3 linked regions of the Callithrix jacchus genome follow. Each later gene encodes a partner of the first gene's protein in a complex. Links are inferred from orthologs where the notes say so. Each region holds a gene or a part of one and is shown in the gene's direction. Other genes may lie near its edges.

Region 1 (7,070 bases):
CCTGTAATCCCAGCTACTCGGGAGGCTGAGGATAGGAGAATCACTTGAACCTGGGAGGCAGAGGTTGCAGTGAGCCAAGATCTCGCCACTGCATGCCAGCCTGGGTGACAGAGCAAGACCCTGTCTGTCTGTCTGTCTGTCTCTCTCTCTCTCTCTCTCTCTCTCTCGATATATATATATATATCCCCATCTTACAGGTGAGGGATCTGAGGTATAAAGAGGTTTAATAACTTGTCCAAGTTCACACAACCAGAAAAGGGAGAGAGCTGCGACTTGAGCCCAGCCAGCCTACTACTAGTCTAGAAGCTAAGCGATTCATCTCCATATCTCATAGAATGGTGCAGATGTATCTGGGAGAAGCAGCTGCTCTAGACCTGGAGTCAGGAAAGGATTCTTGGATGGCATCCATACTGAGGCCTGAAGAAAGAGTAAATCTGGCCAAGAGACTGGTGGGTGGGAAGGAGTGGAAGTAGTAGGGGAGTTGTTCTAGGAAGAAGAAACAACCTGTTCAAAGATTCAGAAATGATCAAGGGGACGAGGGTGGAACATGACATTCAGGCTTCTAGCCTGGATGACTGCCATTCACTAAAATGAAAAGCTGCAGGATGGGACACATTTTAGGGAGAAAGAAGGAGTTCTCTGTTTAACCTGTGATGTCTGAAGTGCCTTGAAACATCCAGATTAAGATAGGAGGCATCTGGCCTAGAGTTCTGGCTGATTCTGTTTGTTTATCTAGTGTTCTTTCTTTCTCTGTTTTTTTGTTTGTTTTTGTTTTAGGTGGAGTCTTGCTCTGCAGTCCAGGCTAGAGTGCAGTGGCACGATCTTGGCTCACTGCAACCTCTGCCTCCCAGGTTCAAGTAATTTTCCTGCCTCAGCCTCCTGAGAAGCTGGAACTACACCAGTTGGGATAGCCGAGCCACCGCACTAGGCTCAGTTTTGTATTTTCAGTAGAGACGGGATTTCACCATGTTGGCCAGGCTGGTTTTGAACTCCTGACCTCAGGTGATCTGCCTTTCTTGGCCTGCCACAGGCTGGGATTACAGGCCCGAGCCACCTCACTGGGCCCAAACATTTTCAATTTGCCTATTGCTCCAGGGCTTTCAGATCCAGAAATAAGCCTGGAAAACCTGAAGTCAGAAGTTAGGCACCTTCAAGACATTTTTTTTTTGAGATGGAGTTTTGCTGTTGTTACCCAGACTGGAGTGCAATGGCGCTATCTCGGCTCACCGCAACCTCTGCATCCTGGGTTCCAGCAATTCTGCCTCAGCCTCCCGAGTAGCTGGGACTACAGGCGCGCACCACCATTCCCAGCTAATTTTTTATATTTTTAGTAGAGACAGGTTTCACCTTGTTGACCAGGATGGTCTCAATCTCTTGACCTCGTGATCCACCTGCCTCGGCCTCCCAAAGTGCTGGGATTACAGACTTGAGCCACCGCGCCCGGCAAGACAGTTTTTTAAATTTTAGTACTCTTCTACTCTGCCCTCTGGCTGTGCCCAGATTCACACCTGAAGACTAGTGTTGGTCCCACATCTGCATTTCATCTCGTGCTTCTGAGTGCAGACTCCTCTCCCATCCTCACCCTTGCAACCTCCAGCCCCTTCTCAGACTTCTAAGACCCTGCAGATCCAAAAACATAGCTAGAAATCCAGAGATCCAGATAATTCTTCAAGTATAGCAGCCTCTAGCCGGCTCCTCCCACCCCTTCCCCAGTGGCCTCCAGCTCCTGCCTTTTCCACCCGGCTGATTCCCTTAGTCCTGTTAAGCTCCAATTTCAAGCTCACAGTCTTCCCAGCTCTATGTCTTCCCGTTTCAGTTCTTCACACCACCTCTCCACCTTCTTAGGTCGTCCCTGGCCTCTTCCTCTCTTAGTCCCCTTAATCCCCCTGATGAGCCTAGCCTGATGCTTCCTTCCATGGCTTCTTTGAGCATCTTTGAGCTACCTCTGGTAGCTAGAGCTCCTCTAGGCTCAAGTTCTCCACCTCTGTCCCCTGGGCTCTCTGTGCTCCCACCAAGGCTGACTCTGGTGCCTCCTTCTCTGAGGAGTTTCTGCCTTTCCTCCCCCTAACCCCCTACCAGTCCCCTGCACCTGCCTCCTCAGGGCCTCCCTTGGTATCTCCCTGTCTATGCCCCCTCTCCTCTCCTGTCCTGATTTCTCTCCACTGCCCCCTTCCCCGTCTTTCCCAGGGCACTGTTCTGTCCTGTCAGTTCCTCTGCTCTTGTTCCCATCTCCTGACCCTTAATCTTTGTGATCTGGCTCCGTAGACCCCTGTCTCCCCCTGTCTAGTGGTACTCCTCTGCTAACCATTTTTATCTCCACTCTAACTCTCCCACTAGCTGTCCCAGTCTTTCTCCTCCTTGGTTCTGTGTCTCCCACAGACACACTGTTTCCCTCCCTAGCTAGGTCTCTCTGCGTCTTTTCCATAACTCTTCTTTTCCTCCTTTGTCTCTCCCTCTCTCTCCTCCTCTTCCTATCTGTCTGTCTCTTTCCCCTTTATCTCTCTGATTCTCCTTGGTCTCTCTGGCTCTGACTTTCCCTCTATATCCGCCCCCCACCCCACCCCTCATATCTCTGTCTCTTCATCTCTCTTTGGCGCGCGCTCGCTCGCTCTCTCTCTCTCTCTCTCTCTCTATTCCTCCGCTCTCTCCGGCTCCCTCTCTCGCCTCGAATGACAGCGCTGCCTCTTTTGTTGGCTCCGCAGCCAATCGCGGCCGCTGACGACACGGGGGCCGGGGCTATAAAGGGCCTGGCCCGGACTCGGGCCCCCCCAGCCGCCCGCCCCGGCCGCCCGCCCGCCCCGCCCGCGCGCCCGCCGCCCCCGGCCCCCCGGGTCCCCCCTCGGCCGGGCAGCCCCCAATCCCGCGCCGCCCGGACCCCCTCCTCTTCCCTCCCTCCTCCCCCCGCCCCCTCCCCGCGGGACTCCGGCGTCCCCGCCCCCCAGTCCTCCCCTCCCCTCCAGCATGGTGCTCGCGGCCCCGCTGCTGCTGGGCTTCCTGCTCCTCGCCCTGGAGCTGCGGCCCCGGGGGGAGGCGGCCGAGGGCCCCGCGGCGGCGGCGGCGGCGGCGGCGGCGGCGGCGGCGGCGGCAGGGGTCGTGGGGGAGCGCTCCAGCCGGCCAGCCGCGTCCGTAGCGCCCGAGCCGGACGGCTGCCCCGTGTGCGTGTGGCGGCAGCACAGCCGCGAGCTGCGCCTGGAGAGCATCAAGTCGCAGATCTTGAGCAAACTGCGGCTCAAGGAGGCGCCCAACATCAGCCGCGAGGTGGTGAAGCAGCTGCTGCCCAAGGCGCCGCCGCTGCAGCAGATCCTGGACCTACACGACTTCCAGGGCGACGCGCTGCAGCCCGAGGACTTCCTGGAGGAGGACGAGTACCACGCCACTACCGAGACCATCATTAGCATGGCCCAGGAAAGTAAGTGGGCTGCGGGGCGCGAGCAGTGGGGTGCTGGCTCTGGCCCCCACGAAGGGCGCCTTCTGCTTCTAAGCGGGGCACTCCCTGCTGCCCCTGCCCGGAAGCTTTTTCTGCTAAAACTTGACGAATTAGGGAGCAGGGGCTACTCCATAGAAGTTTTTCGAGCAGTGGAGATGGGCTGCAAAGTTGTATGCACGCCCAGTTCCCGAAGGTTGGAGCGGGGGGGTAAATGGGGCGGGTTTCGAGATACTGCCTTCCACCCCAGTATGCGAAAAAGACCCTTGTTGGAGTCCGGGGACGCTGGGGCTGGGCAGCTAGTCTGTCCTGAAGAGCCGTGATGGGGAGGCTGGAGAACAGAATCCGGAGGCTTCGGGAACCCGGCAACCCCAGCTATGCTCTCTGCCTCCCAATGGCCCTGGCGCTGACTCCTCACTCCGTGCTCTGTCGGCATCGTGTCCATCGGGTGCAGAGAACTGTGTGCTCTGCTCTCTTCCTTTCCCAGGAATAGGGTCCCATAACCTTTACACCTCCTGGCAGCCCAGCTGGCACGCTTTTCATCCTGAGCCTTGTCTCATACCGGGTATCGCAAGGAGCCGGAAAAACTGTGCCTTATTGATACCGACCGAGCTCAGAGAACTCAACTCCATTGCGCTGGGGGCTAAGGACACTCATTGGCTACTCAAACCTTAGTGTTCCATCCCTTATTCGCCCACTCGTTCTGGACTTGAGCGATAGGAAGACCTAGGACTACCTATCTATAGGTAAGACTAGATAGGTAGTCCTAGGTCTTCCTATCTCTCAAGTCCTATCTAGTACTACCACAGCTGGACTTGAGAGATAGGAAGACCTAGGAAAAAAAGATAAAGAAATAGATGGGGGAGCGGGAACCCAGGCATCGGAGTCCCTGACCAAAAGGAAGATGAACATATAATAGACATGAGCTGCTTTGAAATTTTATGGCCTGGAAAATCCAAGGGAATACTACACCCCGCCACCTTTCCAGCTCTCCCTAGGGTCAGGTGACTCCTTCTTCTCCCCCACCCCACTGAGGTCTCCCCCTCCGCCCAACTCCAGGGAACCAGGCCTCTCTTATTCCCTAGCGGTTTGGCAAGGTCCCTCCCCACACACACACCCCCCACAGCCCCCTGCAACACACACACAGTTTGGTTTTATGACTGTGAACAGAAGACGGGGGAGACTGGTTTATTGGCAGATGGGTCATAAAAAGCTGGGGGCTGAGGGGCGTCCCAGTGGCCAACCCCCATGGAAGAGGCACAGGAACCCAGGTGTGCATCTGGGAGGCTGAGTGCCTCACATTGCCACTGGTATTTCTGCAGACCTCAATTCCACAGGACTTGGTCAAGGCTGTTAAATTCAAAGAACCAGGAAACTAACTGGGTGTGGGGGTGGGAGGCATGGGGCATCTGGTCTTGGATTCCTCAGTTTCCCTTCTATTCTTAAGGCTTCTGCTTATGGAAGCTAGGGTCAGTCTCAGATCGACTGAGGGCAGAGGGAGGGAGTGGTGTTTCTAGGAAACAGAGTTATAGAGGAATTCAGATCAAGAGTTTACTGGAAGAAGAAGGTTACATAGGGAAAAGATACTCTAGTCTATATGGTGTAGTGTGTGTGAAGATTTCCAGGATGGGTGATGGGGCTGTGGATTTCCCTTTGCCCCTAAATATCCTTAGCATCCCTTAACCAACAGGCCTGAGCCCACCAGAGTTAGCTCTGGTAATAGCAATACAGGGAAGTGAAGGGACCCTGCCTACAGGAGTTGGGCTGTGCAGGTGAGGCCTGGGTAGGTGGGGAGGGGACACCAGCTGGTGGAATCCCATCCTAACTTCCACTGCCGCCACCCAGGACTGGTACAATTAGGGAACTGTGTCTCCGGCCAGGTATTGTGCGTCCCCTTTAAGAGCCTAGCTGCACTCTTAAGAGAGGGAGGGGGAGTGGAGGGGAGGGGAGGGAGAGAGGGGAAAAGGAAAAAGAGACTTTTATAGTCTAATCCCCAGGGACCCGCTTTAATAAGAGACTTGTGCTCTGCTAATCGGGGGAGGTGTTTGTCAGCAGAGATGGCCTCCATTCCCTTCCCCCTCCGTCCCCTCCCCCAGCCCTCAACCCTGGACCCCAGCCCCCACCTCTCCTAGGCTGCTCTGCCTGCCCTAGTTCCCTCTACCCTCTCAGGCTCTCCCACCGAGGCTTCATCCTGGGAACCCAGCCCCCTGCCCTTCTGGGAACCAAGCCCAGCCCCTGAGTTTCTCTCTCATCCCCACACCAAGAGGCCCCTGCCCTCTCAGCCCAACCTCCTGCCCTTAGGCCTTCCAGCCAGGGTTGGGAGTGTGTGTGTTGGGGGGTTAGGGTGGGGGGAAGGGGAGGAGGTGGTGTGCAGGGAGGGGGTTGGGCATTTGCTGAAAATAGTGCAATGACCTCTCTCTCCCACCAGCGCCGCCTACTAAACCTGACCTGCTGCCTGCCACCAGCCAGATCAATTCAACACAGATGTGGCCCCTTTTCCTCCCCATCAGAGCTCGGCATATGTGTGTTGGGGACTCACTAAAGCCCGGTTTCCCTCTGTGGCTCTACCTGCTTCTCCTTTGTTCCTCCGTCCGTACCCTTTCTATCCTTTCTCTCCTTTACCCCACTAGGTTTAGCTTCCTCCCACCTTTAGCTTTCTACACGGCACCCACTCCTTTCTATCCCTGCCCCTTGCACCAGGATTCTACAACTCCCAAACTTATTCTCCCCTTGCCGTGATCATCCCCTGGGTCTTTCCACTCTGTCATCTATTTCTCTGCCTATCTCTACCAATCTGCCTTCAACTCTAACAGTCTCTTCTCTATTATCTCCCTCACCATCTCCAGTCTCCCCCCCTTGGCTCTTCTCCTTGCTTTTTTCTTTCTCCCTATGTCCTGCCCCCTTGTAGCACTGACTGTCCCCATGTCTACTGGGGGACAAGTATATAGAATCAAAGACTTAGATGTAGCCCTCATCTTCAAACCCTGGGTCAGCTTACGTAGGGGGAGGGTTATGTTTAGAGCTCAGTAGAGAATGCGAAAATAGTAGTAGCTTCTCAATAAATGTTGGTTTGTTCATTTTGTTTTCACATTCTCTAGTTAATGCTCAGCACTCATGTGAGGCAAGAATTATTACTATCTGTATCACACTGCGAAGTTTGGTAAGGTTAGATAGTGGTTAATAAGGAATTAGGCAGTGATTAAACCCACTTCAATTACAGCCAAAGAACAGAATTCAGTTGCCAGGAAGAACTTTCAGGCACTTGCCTGTATAATTTAAGATTGGGAGTTTAGGGAGTTCATTCAACATGTATTTATTGTCTGGCACTATGTGAGGCACTAAAGCTACAATGGTGAGCAAAACAGACACAGTATCAACAACACAGCGTGTACTCTCGTGGAGATCAGTACCTAATGGCAAGAAAATAGACAATTCCTATGGTGAAATTAGGTAGAGTATGCTACTTGTGATATTGCTTGTCACTCCCCATGTCACTAGTAGCTTCTCTACCCCAGCTACTTCTCATCTCTGAATTTTCACTCCCCAAACCCTACTCCATTGCACCATCACCGAAGCTCCAGCCAGTAGAACAACTGGGAGGACTACTACAGCCCTGGAACCTCAGAATAATCAAGGGGAAAAAAAG
Region 2 (6,984 bases), on another chromosome or scaffold:
TTAATGAGTTGGAGGGAAGAGAGAAAAGGAGACGGGAAAAGAAAGAGAAGGGGAAAAGGGAGGGCGAGTCTGGGTAGAGTCCGGGTAGAAGGAGGGAAGGAAAGAAGAGGGAAAGGAGTCGGGGAAAGAGAACAGAGGGAATGGGTGAGAGAAAGGGAGGGAAAGAAAGAAGGGGAGAGAGACATAGAGCGAGACAGAAACAGAGACAACATGATTCTGGAAAGATTAAGAAGCATGTGGAGCCCCCACAGCCGTCTGAAGTGAGCAAAAAGCCAGCCTCCCCCGGGCCGCCCGAGCCCCTCCCCTCCCGTCCTCACGACGGTAATTATAAAGCGAAAAGCGGCGGCGAGGTCACCCGTTTTTACCAGCCTGCTGCACCGAATGCGCGCGGTGCAGGTGCGGCGGCCGCGGGGCTTTGTGATTCATGCCCACTTTCAAAGGGGGGCTTGGGCCCGTCTGAGAGGCACCCAAACAACTGTCTTCTAATATTAGCACGGCTGTATTTCGGGATCTATTATAGTCTGTCCAGACAGATCCCATTGTAATGGGATCTTTTATTAAAAGATTAGCACTATCTCCTGCAGTTGGTGGAAAAAAATCTGTTATCACTGAGTTATTTGCAGTTGTGGAGGGGGGAAGGTTGCTGGAAGATGGGGGGTGGGAGGGCGAGAGGAAGACTGGGGGAGGGTCTGGCAGAGGGAGGGGAGTTGCAGGGGGCGGGAGGGGGAAGAAGGGCCGATTTGAAATCCGTAGGAGAACAAATCCCAGTGACCTGCGAATGTCCAAGAATCTTGTCTGCATACTTCGCTGTCTGTTGTCCTTCGGGCTTCAGAAGCGAAAAGAACAGACATTTAAGAGGCAGCTTTGGAATAAACAATATAGCATTTTCCGTGAAGTAATCGTTTTATATAAAAGGAAATATCGCCTCCTCAGTTTCATTCAGCGGTGCCAAAAAATGTTATAAATGAGAGACCCGCCAACTTTCAGCAAAGAATGCCAGGCACTGTACTTAATAAACTGAGGCTACAGAAGTTCATTATGGATGTTGCAATCTTTTTTATTCCGCGAAAAGAGAGAAGACGAGAGAGAGAGCGACAGAGAGAGAAAGAGAGAGTGAGAGAGAGAGAGAGAGAGAGAGGCTGGAGCCGAGGAGACTGAGAGAGGCACACAGGACAGAAACTGGGGAGTCTCCGGGCAAGGGAGGAAGGGGGGCCAGACCGCCTACGTCGGCGCCCCCGCTCCGGGCTCCGACTCCAGACGCTGCGAAGTGAAAGGGGAGAAAAGAAAGGGAGAGGGCGAGACTGTGCCGGGGGGAGGCCGGGCCTGAGGTGTTAAACATTTTTGTTTGCTTCTGACTCGCCCAGACGAAGGGCCGCGTCTGGGCAGCGCTCCGCCAGGGTGGAAGGTGCCGGGGCCGGGGTTCCTAGCAACAACTCTGAGCTGGGGGTGGCCGCAAAGTCAGGCACGCACAGACCCAGACACAAAACCCCGCCGGCCCCGCGCCCAGGCTGCGGGGGCCGGGAACTGCCCCGAGGCCGGCGCTCTCCGACAAGACCCGGGGCGGGATATTTGGGCAGCCCGGGGCTCTCCGGGCGTTTGCAAAGTCTCTGGAGCGGAGGAGCGCCAGCACGGAGACTAACTCCCGGGTTCCCCCAGCTCCCCCCGCCGTCGCCTCCAACGCCCCCACCGCGCCCTCCCTCTCACACTCGCGCGCGCACACACTCACACACAGACACACACACACACACACACACACACACACCCGCCACCCCGGGCGCGCCGGCGCTGCCGGCGAGCGGCGGCGAGCAGAACTTGAAGTGGGTGTTCTTCCCCACTCCCCACCCCCGATGCGTCGCCCCCACCCCCCGCCCCGGTCGCCTTCCCCCTCCCTCTCGCTCCTACGCAAATAAGAACTCGACGATTCCCCTCCAGTCGTTTTGATTTCGGGCACCTCCGAAAGATAATTGGGAAGGGTTTCCAGAAGGTGGGAAATGTCACCTGATTCACACTGAACTTTTAAAAGCTCCCCACCCCCAAGGAGCCGCGCACACCCTCGCTCGCGGCCGCCCTCCCACTGCCCCACACACTGGGAGACCGCCCACCGCAAACCGCGGAGACCCCCGTCTAGATTTAAAGCGCGGCTGCGCCCGGCTTCTGACGTCCATTGAATCGCGCGGGCGGCGGGCGGCGAGCGCGGGGTTGAGCCGGGATCGCTGCGCCCTCAGCCGCTGGCCTCTGCGACGCGCGCCGCTCACCCGAACCACCCGCCACCGCGCCGGCTCCCGGCACCGCCGCGCTACTCGCCCTGCGCCTGCCCCCAGGATGGTCCGCGCCAGGCACCAGCCCGGTGGGCTTTGCCTCCTGCTGCTGCTGCTTTGCCAGTTCATGGAAGACCGCAGTGCCCAGGGTAAGCGAGGGGGGATGCGCTGGGGAGGCTCGACTGAGGGCAAGGGGGTCGACTTTTCTGTGGTCTCCACTTGGTCTGTTCTGAGCAACGCTGCTCTCGGAAGATGTTGGACCAACTTGGGGACTCCGGGATGGAGAGGAGTGGGAAAATTGAAGGCAATGACACTTTAGGACTGGGAACGGAGTTTGGAGCTCGGTAATCTTGAAAAAGGAAAAGGAGCGAGCTGGGGTCTGAGTAGTTAGGGTTAGATGCTCCAAGTTCTGGCCATGATAACTTTAGATGTGATCTCCTCTGTGGGTCTGACTAAGGGAGCAAGTATCAGTAGTAGCCTGGAGATTTCAGTGGACCCATTTGCAGTTTCTCTCCTTCCCAGATCTTTCGAATACTTTAAGAAAAGCGGGGGAGAACCTGGGGGTTGGGGGAGATATACTGAAATTTTCTTCGGAGGCTGGGGGACGTGGTTTCAGAAACTTTGCCCAAACTTGGAAATGTGGGTGCTGAAATTTTTCAAGGGAAGTAGCTTTCTGCCTAGTGGATGCTTCTTCCAACCCCATCCCCCATCCCCGCAAAGAAAAAAAAGGAGCCAAATTATTACCCCGAAGTGCTTTCAGCACTTTAGTTTTTTTTCCCTCCGCCTCATTCTTCTTTCTGACTCTTAGCCTTCTGTAAAACAGCGAGCAGCCCATAACTGACTTGAATTCTGAAATGGGCTAACAGCAAATTTCTGAAGCTTGCCTTTAAAAAATAGATTTGTTTATTTCAATTAGTCTTTGGGCAGAATGTTTAAAATAATAATAGCAGTTTACAGTCCAATGATTGTTAAAGTCATATTGGTGATTCGTGAGAAGTCTTCCCGGCCCAAATCCGAACATTTAAAATGGGGGAAGAGGGATAAATCACTTGCAAAGATTTCTTGCTAGGTATGAAGTAGGCACGTATAACCGTGAAATGGTAGGAAACCTGCCCCCTTTAAGGCATTACTTTCCCTGCTTCAGCGTTAACATTTTAAGTGTGTTGTATACTGCGCTCCTGGCCACTGCCCCTCCCCGTCTGCATGGCACTGCGCTGGGTTGCCCGCCTTTCGGGGAGAGGCGCTGCCTGGTGCCTGGACGTGGGCGCGGAGGAAAGCAGCGCTCGGAGATTTCGAAAGATCGCGGTGGCCGCAGGCGTGCTCCGGGTCTGGCGGATTGCAAAACGGGCCCGTCGGGCGGGCTGCGCCTCCAGGCCGCGCGGGGTAGCTCCGTGCTGGGCTGGGTTGCTTTTTTTGCTTTCATTTTTCACAAGTGCCTTTTGCTTGATCTGCTCTCTCTCTCTCTCTCTCTCTCTCTCTCTCTCTCTCTCTCTCTCTCTCTCTGCCCCCCCGTCTCGTCTCTCTCTCCCCTCTCTCGTTCTCCCACTTTCTTAACCCCTGTCACAAATAATTCCTGTACCGCCTACATGAAACCAACATGTAAAAACATCCGTCGCATCCTGTTTTTGTCAGGTTCTTTAATCTGCTCTTCGAGTCGCTGCAGGTTATGAAATGGGACGAATAAAAGTAAACAGTCTAGTAAAAGTCAATGCAAGCTGCACGTGTTGTGTCTGGGTCACTGGTAACTGACATTGATATGGCTGGGGCGCTCTGTCTTCTCCCTCTCTCCCTCCCTCCCTCTCGCCCACCTCCCATCTTTGGGATCAGGGCTTCCCCCCACCTTCTTTTCCCACCCCTCCACCCCTTTCGATTTATTTCCTACTTTCCCCCCCGCTTCTCCAGCGTCTCTCTCGCTTCCCCTCCTCCGTGATCACCCTTCCCGTCCGCACCGCCGGGTCTCCTTTACTAACCACCCCCTCCCCCTGCCCCGCCACCGCTCACTCACCCACCTCCCCACCCCTGTCTCTTCACAGCTGGAAACTGCTGGCTCCGTCAAGCCAAGAATGGCCGCTGCCAGGTTCTGTACAAGACCGAACTGAGCAAGGAGGAGTGCTGCAGCACCGGCCGTCTGAGCACCTCGTGGACCGAGGAGGACGTGAATGACAACACACTCTTCAAGTGGATGATTTTCAATGGGGGCGCCCCCAACTGCATCCCCTGTAAAGGTAGGAGTCCCTCCCGACTTGCAGGCCCTCAGTAGAGGGCGTATACCCCTTCAGCTTCCCCGCTACCTGGCTGGGCTTTGGGATTGGAGAGCTTTGTTCATGGGCTTCCCCTTTCTTCCCCTTGCAAATTCGAATTCTGCATGTTAAAAGCTGTAGGCAAAACACCCCAGACTTCTTAGCCAAGTGTGGTGGTGAAGCCCGCCAACCCGTGCTCCTTGACGAGAGAGATCTGGGCTTGGGGCATAGCCCAAGGTCCGCACTCTTTCACCACCTCCCAATCTTCTAGGAGAGAGCCTGGGCCCCTCCAGCGCAAACTCAGGGCTGCAGGATTGCGCAAGGCACCCGAAGCCCTCCTGGCTGACCTGCAGACTGCCTGGCTCTGGTTTTAATCCATTCCTGTTTCCAACTCACAGAAACGTGTGAGAACGTGGACTGTGGACCCGGGAAAAAATGCCGAATGAACAAGAAGAACAAACCGCGCTGCGTCTGCGCCCCGGATTGTTCCAACATCACCTGGAAGGGTCCAGTCTGCGGGCTGGATGGGAAAACCTACCGCAGTGAATGTGCGCTCTTAAAGGCGAGATGTAAAGATCAGCCAGAACTGGAAGTCCAGTACCAAGGCAGATGTAAAAGTAGGTCCTCCCCTGTTGAGCAAGACTGGATCTGTGCCCCTCCTCCAGCTTTGTACCTAAAGTAGACCCTCTAGCAGACCCCTGGGGGATAGTGTAGTCCACAGTAAGAGCCTGATAATAATAAGACTGAAACCAAATAAAGGAGTCCTTTTCTAACTTCTCAAGACTCATTAAGAACGCTGAGGGCGTTAATGTTCTTAACCTAGAGTCATAGATTCTCTATTGAAAACCACAGGGCTCCCAAAATGCCTTTGGAAAGCTGGATGCTTCAGTGTCATGATTTCCTTAGTAACTTCAAGTGCTCATTCCCTAACGACTAGACGGTACCTTTTCATGTGTGTTTCCTTCTTTGTTCCAGAGACCTGTCGGGATGTTTTCTGTCCAGGCAGCTCCACGTGTGTGGTGGACCAGACCAATAATGCCTACTGTGTGACCTGTAATCGGATTTGCCCAGAGCCCACTTCCTCTGAGCAATATATCTGTGGGAATGATGGAGTCACCTACTCCAGTGCCTGCCACCTGAGAAAGGCTACCTGCCTGCTGGGCAGATCTATTGGATTAGCCTATGAGGGAAAGTGTATCAGTAGGTATTCTGGATTGAGGAAAGAAAAAGTGAAAACAGGCTAGTTCTGGTGTTAAACTGTGGGGTTAACTAATAAGTAAAGCCCAAGCCATCCCCAGACACCATAGGGAGAAACACGCTGCAATTTGGGGAAACTGTTGTGACCACAGCATTCCTCATGGAAACCGTTCTTCTGGAGGCATTGACATATATTTAAATGCCAGCAGGAAGCAAAAAACAGTATTTCATCTTAGAAAACTTAGAACTCACTCAATTTTACACATTTTTTTAAGTGCCAGACTTGCTGGAAGCGAAAAATAATTACTTAGCAATTCCTGAAATCTGTTATCAGATTCTAGTAATTGATGGAATTCTTTCTTTTGCAAAATATCCCACTTGTGGGAAATAATAAGATACATATTTAACTCAAGAATATTGTAACATCTTGTTCCAAAAAAAATACTATTTTCATACACTAATGTAGTATGTAAGAAACTGCAGGGGATTTTTGTGTGTGTATGTGTGTGTGTGCATTTGAGTTTCAGTTTTATTATCCAGCATTTTTGCGTAAAAGCTCCATTAGCCCATCTGTAATAACATAGAAATTATGTTTAGGAGAAAGGGAGAAAAGGGGGATATGGGGAAGTCAGTTTACTCATCACAAATGTATTGTATCCTAGAAGCAAAGTCCTGTGAAGATATCCAGTGCACTGGTGGGAAAAAATGTTTATGGGATTTCAAGGTTGGGAGAGGCCGGTGTTCCCTCTGTGATGAGCAGTGCCCTGACAGTAAGTCGGATGAGCCTGTCTGTGCCAGTGACAATGCCACTTATGCCAGTGAGTGTGCTATGAAGGAAGCTGCCTGCTCCTCAGGTGTGCTGCTGGAAGTAAAGCACTCCGGATCTTGCAACTGTAAGTGCGATTTTTAACCTTGCTGCCATTTAAGGCTTTCCCGGGCAACCCCTAGGGAATGGGCACTTAGAAAGCAAGCAGATCTCCCACAAAATCCATTTCTGTTCAAGTTAAATAGCTGCTGAGTATCACCAGCAATTCAGTAATCCACAGAAAAATTATCTGCAACGTTTCTTGGCTTTTAGGACTTATCCAGTGATCATCAATGGGCTGCCTCTAAAAATCCATTTCCAGTTGTTCACCCCTATTTCTTTTGCTTTGGTAGTGTGCTTTGCTGTTTGCTTTACTAACATTTGAATCTAAACTAACTGCTTCAAACGTTTTTTGTTTTTTGTTTTTTTCCAAAGACAGCTTCATGTTATCACACATGGGTTGCTGCTTTTTCGCAGTTGCCTC
Region 3 (7,110 bases), on another chromosome or scaffold:
CCTAGTGCCACCTGCAACAGAATTAACTATGATGTCTATTACAAATGCAGATTCCTGAACCTTCTCCAGAAGAACTGAAGCAGAATTGCTAAGACCCAGTGAGACCCAAGAATCTGCATTATTAAAAGCTCTCCAGGTAATTTGGAGACACTTTACAATTTGGGAACCATGATTTTAAACTATTAATTTAGTGTTCCATTCTAGTGTAGTTTATTTATGGATCTGTTGTTCATGGAAATTTCCTCCTAGTATCAGGATGTTAAAATTTAAAAACCGGTCTGTTTTTCCTTTCTGTTGAATCTACTCAATTCCATGGAAAATGTTAAGGAACTGGAGGTGTGATTAACACTGATTAATCTAGGCTCTGTACGTCAAGGGCACAGACTAACATGAACACACATGCTGATTAGAATCATACGGAGCTGGAAGGGGATGGGCAAAGAAATGGCATTAACTAAATATTTACTATGTTCCAGACACTGTACCAGACACATTACATCATCTAAGGAGCCCAAGACAAGTGATTCAATCCCTTTCATTTATAAACGGGGTAGGTACTATTATTATTTACATTTTAGAGATGAGGAAGCTAAAGGCCAAAGAAAAACAGTCACTTTGAGATCATTCATTCATTCACACAATCAAAATCTCATTAGCTCTTATCTTATGCAAGACATTGCAAATAGAGCAGCAAAAAGGCAATCTAGAGACCTCTTGGCACAAAGCCCACCAAGTCTCCATTGAAGAAACTGGAACCGAGAGGGCAAATTGGGACTGGAGCCTGCCAGAAACCGTCTTTCTGGAATCCTTCAGTCTGAACAAGAGGGGAGTTCGCTGCTGAGGCTGCTGGCGCTGCAGTCTAGAGCAAGTTGCAGGCCTCTGAGCCTGCTGGAGACTCTGAAAGGTTAGCTGACTTTGCCGAAGTAGTGTCCCAGCCAGGAGGGAGAAAGCACGCAGGTCTCAGATCCCAGCTCCAATATCCACGTCCTTTCCCTTTTCATCTCCAGGAAGGAAACCTTCACAGGTGGGGAAAATGCTCACCCAGTGACTCTGAAGTAGTGCACAAGTTGACATTAGAGGCTGGTTCTGATTCCTGCTATCAAGGTTTATTTAATTCCAAGCTCAAATGACACAGGAAATAAAACTTTCTCCTTAAAAGGTTCTGAGGGAAAATATTCTCTGTTCTACGTAACAGCCTCCTTGGCTGTGTTTGTGTCTGAAGAAAGGACTAGTCTGACAGGAAGAATTACAAATCTGGAGCTCATTTTGGCGTCGCGGAGGAAAGGTGGGTGGAGCGTCTCGCAGTAAATTAGGAATTCGGAATGAAAACGTAGTTTATTTGGGTTTTTAGTGACACCTCAGGATTATTATACAGGAGTGTCAGACACAGCTCAAAGTAATGACTGCTCCCCCTCCACCCCGCGGGAGCTGGGTTCTAAGAAGGGGGAACCCCTCCTTTGAGGGGTTGGGGTGGGGACCCTCCCTTTCCAACCTGGATCAGGAAGGGGGATGAGGCGAGAGCGGCTTGGATCCCCATCCTGTGCCTGTTCCGGAGTGAGGCGGGAGGCTATTTGGGGGTGTGTTTGGGGTCAGGATCTGGGTCTGAGGCTGGGATCTGAGGACTTCCTAGGTTTGGAATTGGGTGGGGGAGCTAGGTTCGGGATGACCGCTCCAAGCATGAGGAAACAGGAGACTGAGTCGCATGTGAAGGGCGCGGAGGAAAGATCTTCGGGGGAATGCTGAAGTTGATGCGTGGACTTGGAGAGGGGAAGTTGAAGTGCATGCAGGGCCTGGCGCTGCAGCGGATCTGAGTGGCCTATGCAGGGATTGCCGGTGCGGAGCAGTGAATGGGGTCAGCGTGGGGCTGAAGCAGTACGAGATCTTCCGCGCCTAGAGGAGGTTAGAAGAAAAGAGAGTCGAGCGGCCACAGCCTTTTCCCGAAAGCGACTCACACAGACACACCCTTCGCTCTACCCGGCCCTCCGGGGCTAGCGGCTCGGCGGCGCTGGGTCTGGCCGATCCCGCCCCCACACCGCCTCGCGGAGCCGGGAGCAGCTCTGGCCGGGGCAGGGGTCTGGCGGCCCGTCCCCCGGGGAGCGTGGGGCGTGGCCAGAGGCCGGGGCGCGCGGCTCCGGATTGGCTGCCCGGTGGGCCCGCGGGCGGGGCTCGTGGCTGGGTCCCGCTCGGCCGCTCGCGGCGGCGGGGAGGCGGGGCCGGCGGGAGCCCGGCAGCCAATGGACGCACGTCCCCCGAGCAGTTACAAAGGGCCGAAGCGGGGCCGCCGCGGCGGCGGGGGAGGTGGGGCGAGGCGAGGTTTGCTGGGGTGAGGCGGCGGCCGGGCCGGGCCGGGCCACAGGCGGTGGCGGCGGGACCATGGAGGCGGCGGCCGCTGCTCCGCGTCCCCGACTGCTCCTCCTTGTGCTGGCGGCGGCAGCGGCGGCGGCGGCGCTGCTGCTCCCGGGGGCGACGGGTGAGCGGCAGCGCGGCGCGGCGGGCGGGCGGGCGACTGCGGGGCGCGCGGGCCGGGCCCGGCCTCCGGCTCGCTACTGCTCTTTCTCAAACATGGCGCGGGGCCGGGGGCGCAGGTGGCAGCGCCGGGGCCCGGACCGGGCTCTCGTGGCCCCAACCGGGCTCTCGTGGCCCCGAGCGGCTCGGTGGCAGCCGGGCGAACCGCAAGCGGGGAGCGGAGGCGGGGCAGGGGCGTGTGTCCGGGCACGGGTGAACGTGCCGGGCAGCCTGAGGCCGTCCGGCTCGGGACTCCCCCGGGGAGGTGGAGTCGGACGGAGTCGTCCGAGGGCCGGGGCTGCCCTGTGGGGTGTGCGTGGGTTAGGGCCAGGGGCGGAGGATGCGAGACGGGCGGGGACTGGCAGAGCGGTGGCTGCCGACCGCCGCCGCCCCCCAGGGAACGGCGTGGTCTTGGGGTCCCGGGCGGGTTTTGGGGTTGGGGGGAAGGCGGCTCCCGGGCGGGGTGTGAGCTCCGAGCCGCGAGGGCTTCCCGGGGTGGGAGTCGGGGGTCGACATGTGGTGAGACCCCCGGGTCTGCAAGCTGCCCTGACTCCCGCCCGGCCCGACCCTGCTGGAAGGGTCTGCTCCTTCAGCCAAGGGGGCTTTGTGTGAGAAGAAGGAAGCGTGGAGATGCGCGGAGTATTCCTTCTTTCGTGCGCCTGAGGAGTGTTGAAGTGAGTCCAGTAACCAGAAGGCTACGGATTGTTTTCGTAGTGGAAACTTGAACGTTTGCTCACTCTACAGGGTTTGGAAATTTGGGGAATGACTGTGAATTGATTCAACGCTTTTATTTCCTAGAAGGAACATCACTTGCGATGTTCCTTTTCTTGAGTGACAGTTAATAGTTTGAATGATACATCTGGTAGCTGGTTTTCAAGGAAGAATGTTCGCTGAGTTTTTCCAAGTATTAAATCAGGTCGGGGTAGGTGGTTGGCATCCACAAAGTGATGAGTGGAAAACTTTGTTAGCAGCTGAATTAAGACAGTAGAAACTAAAATCAGAGCCTCAGTCTTAGCAACTAAAATGCAGTGAAATTACATTTCTGTTTCTGAAACTGTACAAAAATGTTGAAAATTCTTTTAAAAATCAAGACTGAAGATGATGATTATAATTAGTCCTAATAGCCTCCGTCTATGTATTATGCATTACTATGATGTAAATGCATAAAGTACACTATTGGATACGTACATTATTTAATCACCACAACCAAACTCTCAGGACTTGTGGCATTTGCCCCACTTTAAAGATTTGAAAAGTGGGGTGCAGACCCCTGGGTCTGCTTAAGTATGCAGTCACTAAGTGCTAAAGCTAGAATTTTCACTCAGATCTCAGTTTCCAAAACCTGTACACACATATATATATAAATATGTATATACACACGCAAACATGTATACATCATACTACCTGGCATAGCCCATTTTTCTTCATCTGATGAGCAACTGGTCTTTATTATTCACTTTTAGATTCTGTCCTCATGATATGAATGTCAGATAGGCTTCATTCTGACTCTTAGCACATTCCTGAGTCCCTTCACGTGGGCCTGCATTAGAGGAAACAATGGATTTTTGACATTGGCCTAGGGAGGAAGGCAAGATAACTGTGTGGACAGATTGGGAGAATCAATATAGTTAGGGGGAAACATAGGTAACATTTCCACACCACTATTAACTTGAATAACATAGTGCCCTCTTTTCCACCAGAAGTAGCACAGGAAGTGTTCATGTATTCAAGTAACAGTAGGTGGACTTAGTTGGATACACAGAACATTGCTCAGTCCATGTCCTGGGGGAGTTTACAGTCTCTGTGGCATGTACACAGTACAAAGCTGTCCAGGTGCATATTACTCTAAGCCCAGACTGCCTCAGCTTCTCTGCCTTTCTTATTGGTTATGATGATGTCTCAGTCCACCCTTAAAATAACATTCTGAAAAAGGTCAAATGCTTTTTTTTCTCTCTGTAATTTTACTTCCCTTTTAAAAAGAGTGCAGTTTCTTATTTTCTGAGTATGTTTTATTGTTCTCTGCCCAACTTCTCTCCCCAACATAGATTTCTCTAGGAAAATTGATTCCTTGTCGCTAGTACACGGTTTAGTACCACTGTGTCTATATGAATATCCCTTGTGAGAATGCTGTTTGCTTCCTTTCTGCCATTTCATAACATTTTTTCTTTGGAAACATGCTCTAAATCCAACTCTTGTTTCTATTAATGCCTCTTGAATGTCTCCTCCTTTCTTGGTATGCAGCCTTCAGCTTAATCCTGCCTGTTATCCTCCAAATCTAGTTGCTTTCCCATGTTTCTCTCTTCTAAGCTTTTCTATGGGCTACTGCCAAACTAATCTTCCTCAGCCATCCCCATAAAGGTTTATATGATTTCCCATTTGTATTCAGCACTTAGAGAAACACTTCAGCAGCTTATGATTGGGGCCATCTCTGAGTATCCTACCAGGAATCTCACTTCTCATTACTGCAGACCTTCAAGCAATTTCTATTTCTCACTGACTCCTGACTGTTCAGCTTTTCACTACACATTTAATTTTGCCCCTTTTTTGGGAGTGTAAGAAGTTCTCAGTCCTGACTTCCTGTACTGGTTTAGTTCTTGAATTCTTTGTCTTCCAGAACTCTGCAACACTTACAGTTTGTGTTGTCCATTTCTACTGTCTGCACTGCAATTTAACTACACTTGAATATGTTGTAGATACCTAGAGGACGAGATTCATGCCATTTCTTTGCTTTATGGCCTCAGAACTTAGCACTGTGTTTTATATTCTATTCCACATAGATGCTTGTTGATTTCTATTTGAGCATTCCTTTAGTATTTATACTGTTTTATCTAAGTCCAGTTTATGCAATATTAACTTATAATTCTGTATAAATAATCAGGAAATATTGTGTGGTGTGGTGAAGGCAAGTGGTTATTAGTCCCACCTTCACCACCAGTTATGCAGAAAATAGGGGCAATACCTGCTTTTGCCTAATTCATGAGATTGTGAAGATCACATGAGAAAGTGGTATTTGAGTTTGAGGTTGCTATTCTGTATTGTTACTAATGATCAGGACTGATATTCAACAAGCAGTTCCCACTGGGCCATGTGTTTTTTGGTTAAACATCCTTTCTGGTTGGTTGGTACCCTTGTAGTGCCAGTTGTTAAATATTTTTAATGTCATCCCTGTAGGGAGGCATTAGTATTCAAAAAGGGAGATGATTAGTGTAGGCTGGAGTGATTGGGGGAGGCTTTCTGGACAGTTTAGGACTTAAGCTGACTTTGAAGGGTGGGTACAATTCAGAGGGGGATTTGATGAGTATGAAAGTTCTCTAAAAGTGTGTCTCCAACTGTACTGGGGCCCCCACTCCAAGGGAGGAAACAAAGCTTTTACTGACTGGCAAGTTACTCTTCAAAGTTAGGTTCCTTATTCTTTACTGTGGGATTTGGATGTATTAACCTCTATCATTTTTCCCCCCAATCCTAAAGGCTATAGTACATGGCTGGAAACAAAGCATAAAAGTAATCAAAGTGGAGTAAATGAGAGAGAATAACATTATAGGATGCCCACTAGGGCTAGGCATTCAGCTGGTGAAAGTCCTAAGTATATTGTCACTTCAATTTACAGATGAAAAAACTCAGATTAGGTGAATTTCTTAGGGTGACAAAGGGCAGAACAGAGACAGGAACTTTGATTTTCTGATTCCAAATCTTGTGCCCTATATTCTGCTTTAAAATGTGAAGGACATGGAGGTGGGCGTGGGACGAGGTTAATGGAGTGACTTACCTAAGTGAAATAGGCCTTGCACTTCACACAATTTATGAAAAGTGAATTCTAAAGGTAGAAGGGAAGGGGAGTGATTAAAGGCTAAAAGTCCTCAAGGGAAAGGTCAGGATTCTTTTTTTTTAATTGCTGATAAAAGGACCTGGTATAATACTGACTGAGAAACATAGGCCTATAGTAGTTTGGAAGGTAGTCTTGGATAAGTACTGTTAATTGAATTGGGTGTAATTAAAAGGCCTTGGTTTAGAATAATAGATGATCTGCTTTGTTATTGGAATTCAGTGAGGAATTGACATGATAAAAATGATCAAGAGGAAGATAAATCTTGTTCTTTATCTTTCAACAGGGGTCTTCCCCACAAGGAAAGGTTCTAGGCCTTAGTTGAAGAGTTACAAGGACTCAGCACCATTCTTATAGTATCATTTTATTGTATCAAATATGTTCATGTGTAATGAATTGAGTTTTGAAAATGCTGTTATCCTGTGGATGGCCCTTTTGATATGAAAATATGTCTCTTCAAACCACAGAGCCCCTTGCGAATGTTGACAAACCTCTTGCCTTTTGCTCTTCTTCCTTGGTCATGGCTTACATAATAGAGTTCTGAAGAGATGGACTGTGGTTTGATATCATGTGATTGGGTCACATCTTTGCTTCCTGCTTCTGGAACTGAGGGCAGATGCTGGCATGTTTCTCAGGGATTTTTGTAATGCTTTGTCCCGTAGAACTAAGCTGAGGAAATTTTTGGAGTCTTCTCAAAATGTATGGTCTGTTTTGACCCAGCCTAACTCCAATACTTAGGATAATATTTAATGCCATTCTTAACTGAATTTTCTGAACGTTAA

Evidence for each region. The genes of interacting proteins can lie anywhere in the genome.
Region 2: the proteins of GDF11 (region 1) and FST are in contact, whole or in part, in a crystal structure (PDB 5JHW), measured with the Homo sapiens proteins. The link is inferred for Callithrix jacchus from reciprocal best matches to the Homo sapiens genes GDF11 and FST. Residues at the interface, in NP_005802.1 of Homo sapiens: Asn299, Leu300, Gly301, Leu302, Glu310, Arg312, Asp328, Trp329, Ile331, Ala332, Lys334, Arg335, Tyr336, Lys337, Tyr347, Met348, Phe349, Met350, Pro354, His357, Gln361, Ile380, Asn381, Leu383, Phe385, Asp387, Lys388, Gln389, Gln390, Ile391; in NP_037541.1 of Homo sapiens: Leu34, Arg35, Gln43, Val44, Leu45, Tyr46, Lys47, Thr48, Arg60, Ser62, Asp72, Asn73, Leu75, Phe76, Met79, Ile80, Leu134, Asp135, Arg149, Gln153, Pro154, Glu155, Val180, Val181, Asp182, Gln183, Tyr188, Val190, Thr191, Asn193.
Region 3: the proteins of GDF11 (region 1) and TGFBR1 are in contact, whole or in part, in a crystal structure (PDB 6MAC), measured with the Homo sapiens proteins. The link is inferred for Callithrix jacchus from reciprocal best matches to the Homo sapiens genes GDF11 and TGFBR1. Residues at the interface, in NP_005802.1 of Homo sapiens: Phe322, Ala324, Phe325, Gly326, Trp327, Trp329, Ile330, Met382, Tyr384, Phe385, Asn386, Asp387, Ile392, Ile396, Pro397, Met399; in NP_004603.1 of Homo sapiens: Ile78, Pro79, Asp81, Arg82, Phe84, Ala87, Pro88, Ser89, Ser90, Lys91.

What each region holds. Positions count from the first base shown.
Region 1 is NC_133510.1:63,909,975-63,917,044, reverse strand, and holds the start of GDF11 (growth/differentiation factor 11), read left to right. Parts: upstream 1-2,770; 5' UTR 2,771-2,961; coding exon 2,962-3,409; intron 3,410-4,045; exon of another isoform or gene 4,046-4,170; intron 4,171-5,852; exon of another isoform or gene 5,853-5,991; intron 5,992-7,070. UniProt on the Homo sapiens protein: Secreted signal that acts globally to regulate anterior/posterior axial patterning during development. May play critical roles in patterning both mesodermal and neural tissues. It is required for proper vertebral patterning and orofacial development.
Region 2 is NC_133503.1:156,369,917-156,376,900, reverse strand, and holds the start of FST (follistatin), read left to right. Parts: upstream 1-2,159; 5' UTR 2,160-2,322; coding exon 2,323-2,407; intron 2,408-4,291; coding exon 4,292-4,483; intron 4,484-4,896; coding exon 4,897-5,115; intron 5,116-5,473; coding exon 5,474-5,698; intron 5,699-6,357; coding exon 6,358-6,588; intron 6,589-6,984. UniProt on the Homo sapiens protein: Multifunctional regulatory protein whose primary function is to antagonize members of the transforming growth factor beta (TGF-beta) superfamily including activin, myostatin, GDF11 or bone morphogenetic proteins (BMPs).
Region 3 is NC_133502.1:147,221,563-147,228,672, forward strand, and holds the start of TGFBR1 (TGF-beta receptor type-1), read left to right. Parts: upstream 1-2,285; 5' UTR 2,286-2,373; coding exon 2,374-2,470; intron 2,471-7,110. UniProt on the Homo sapiens protein: Transmembrane serine/threonine kinase forming with the TGF-beta type II serine/threonine kinase receptor, TGFBR2, the non-promiscuous receptor for the TGF-beta cytokines TGFB1, TGFB2 and TGFB3.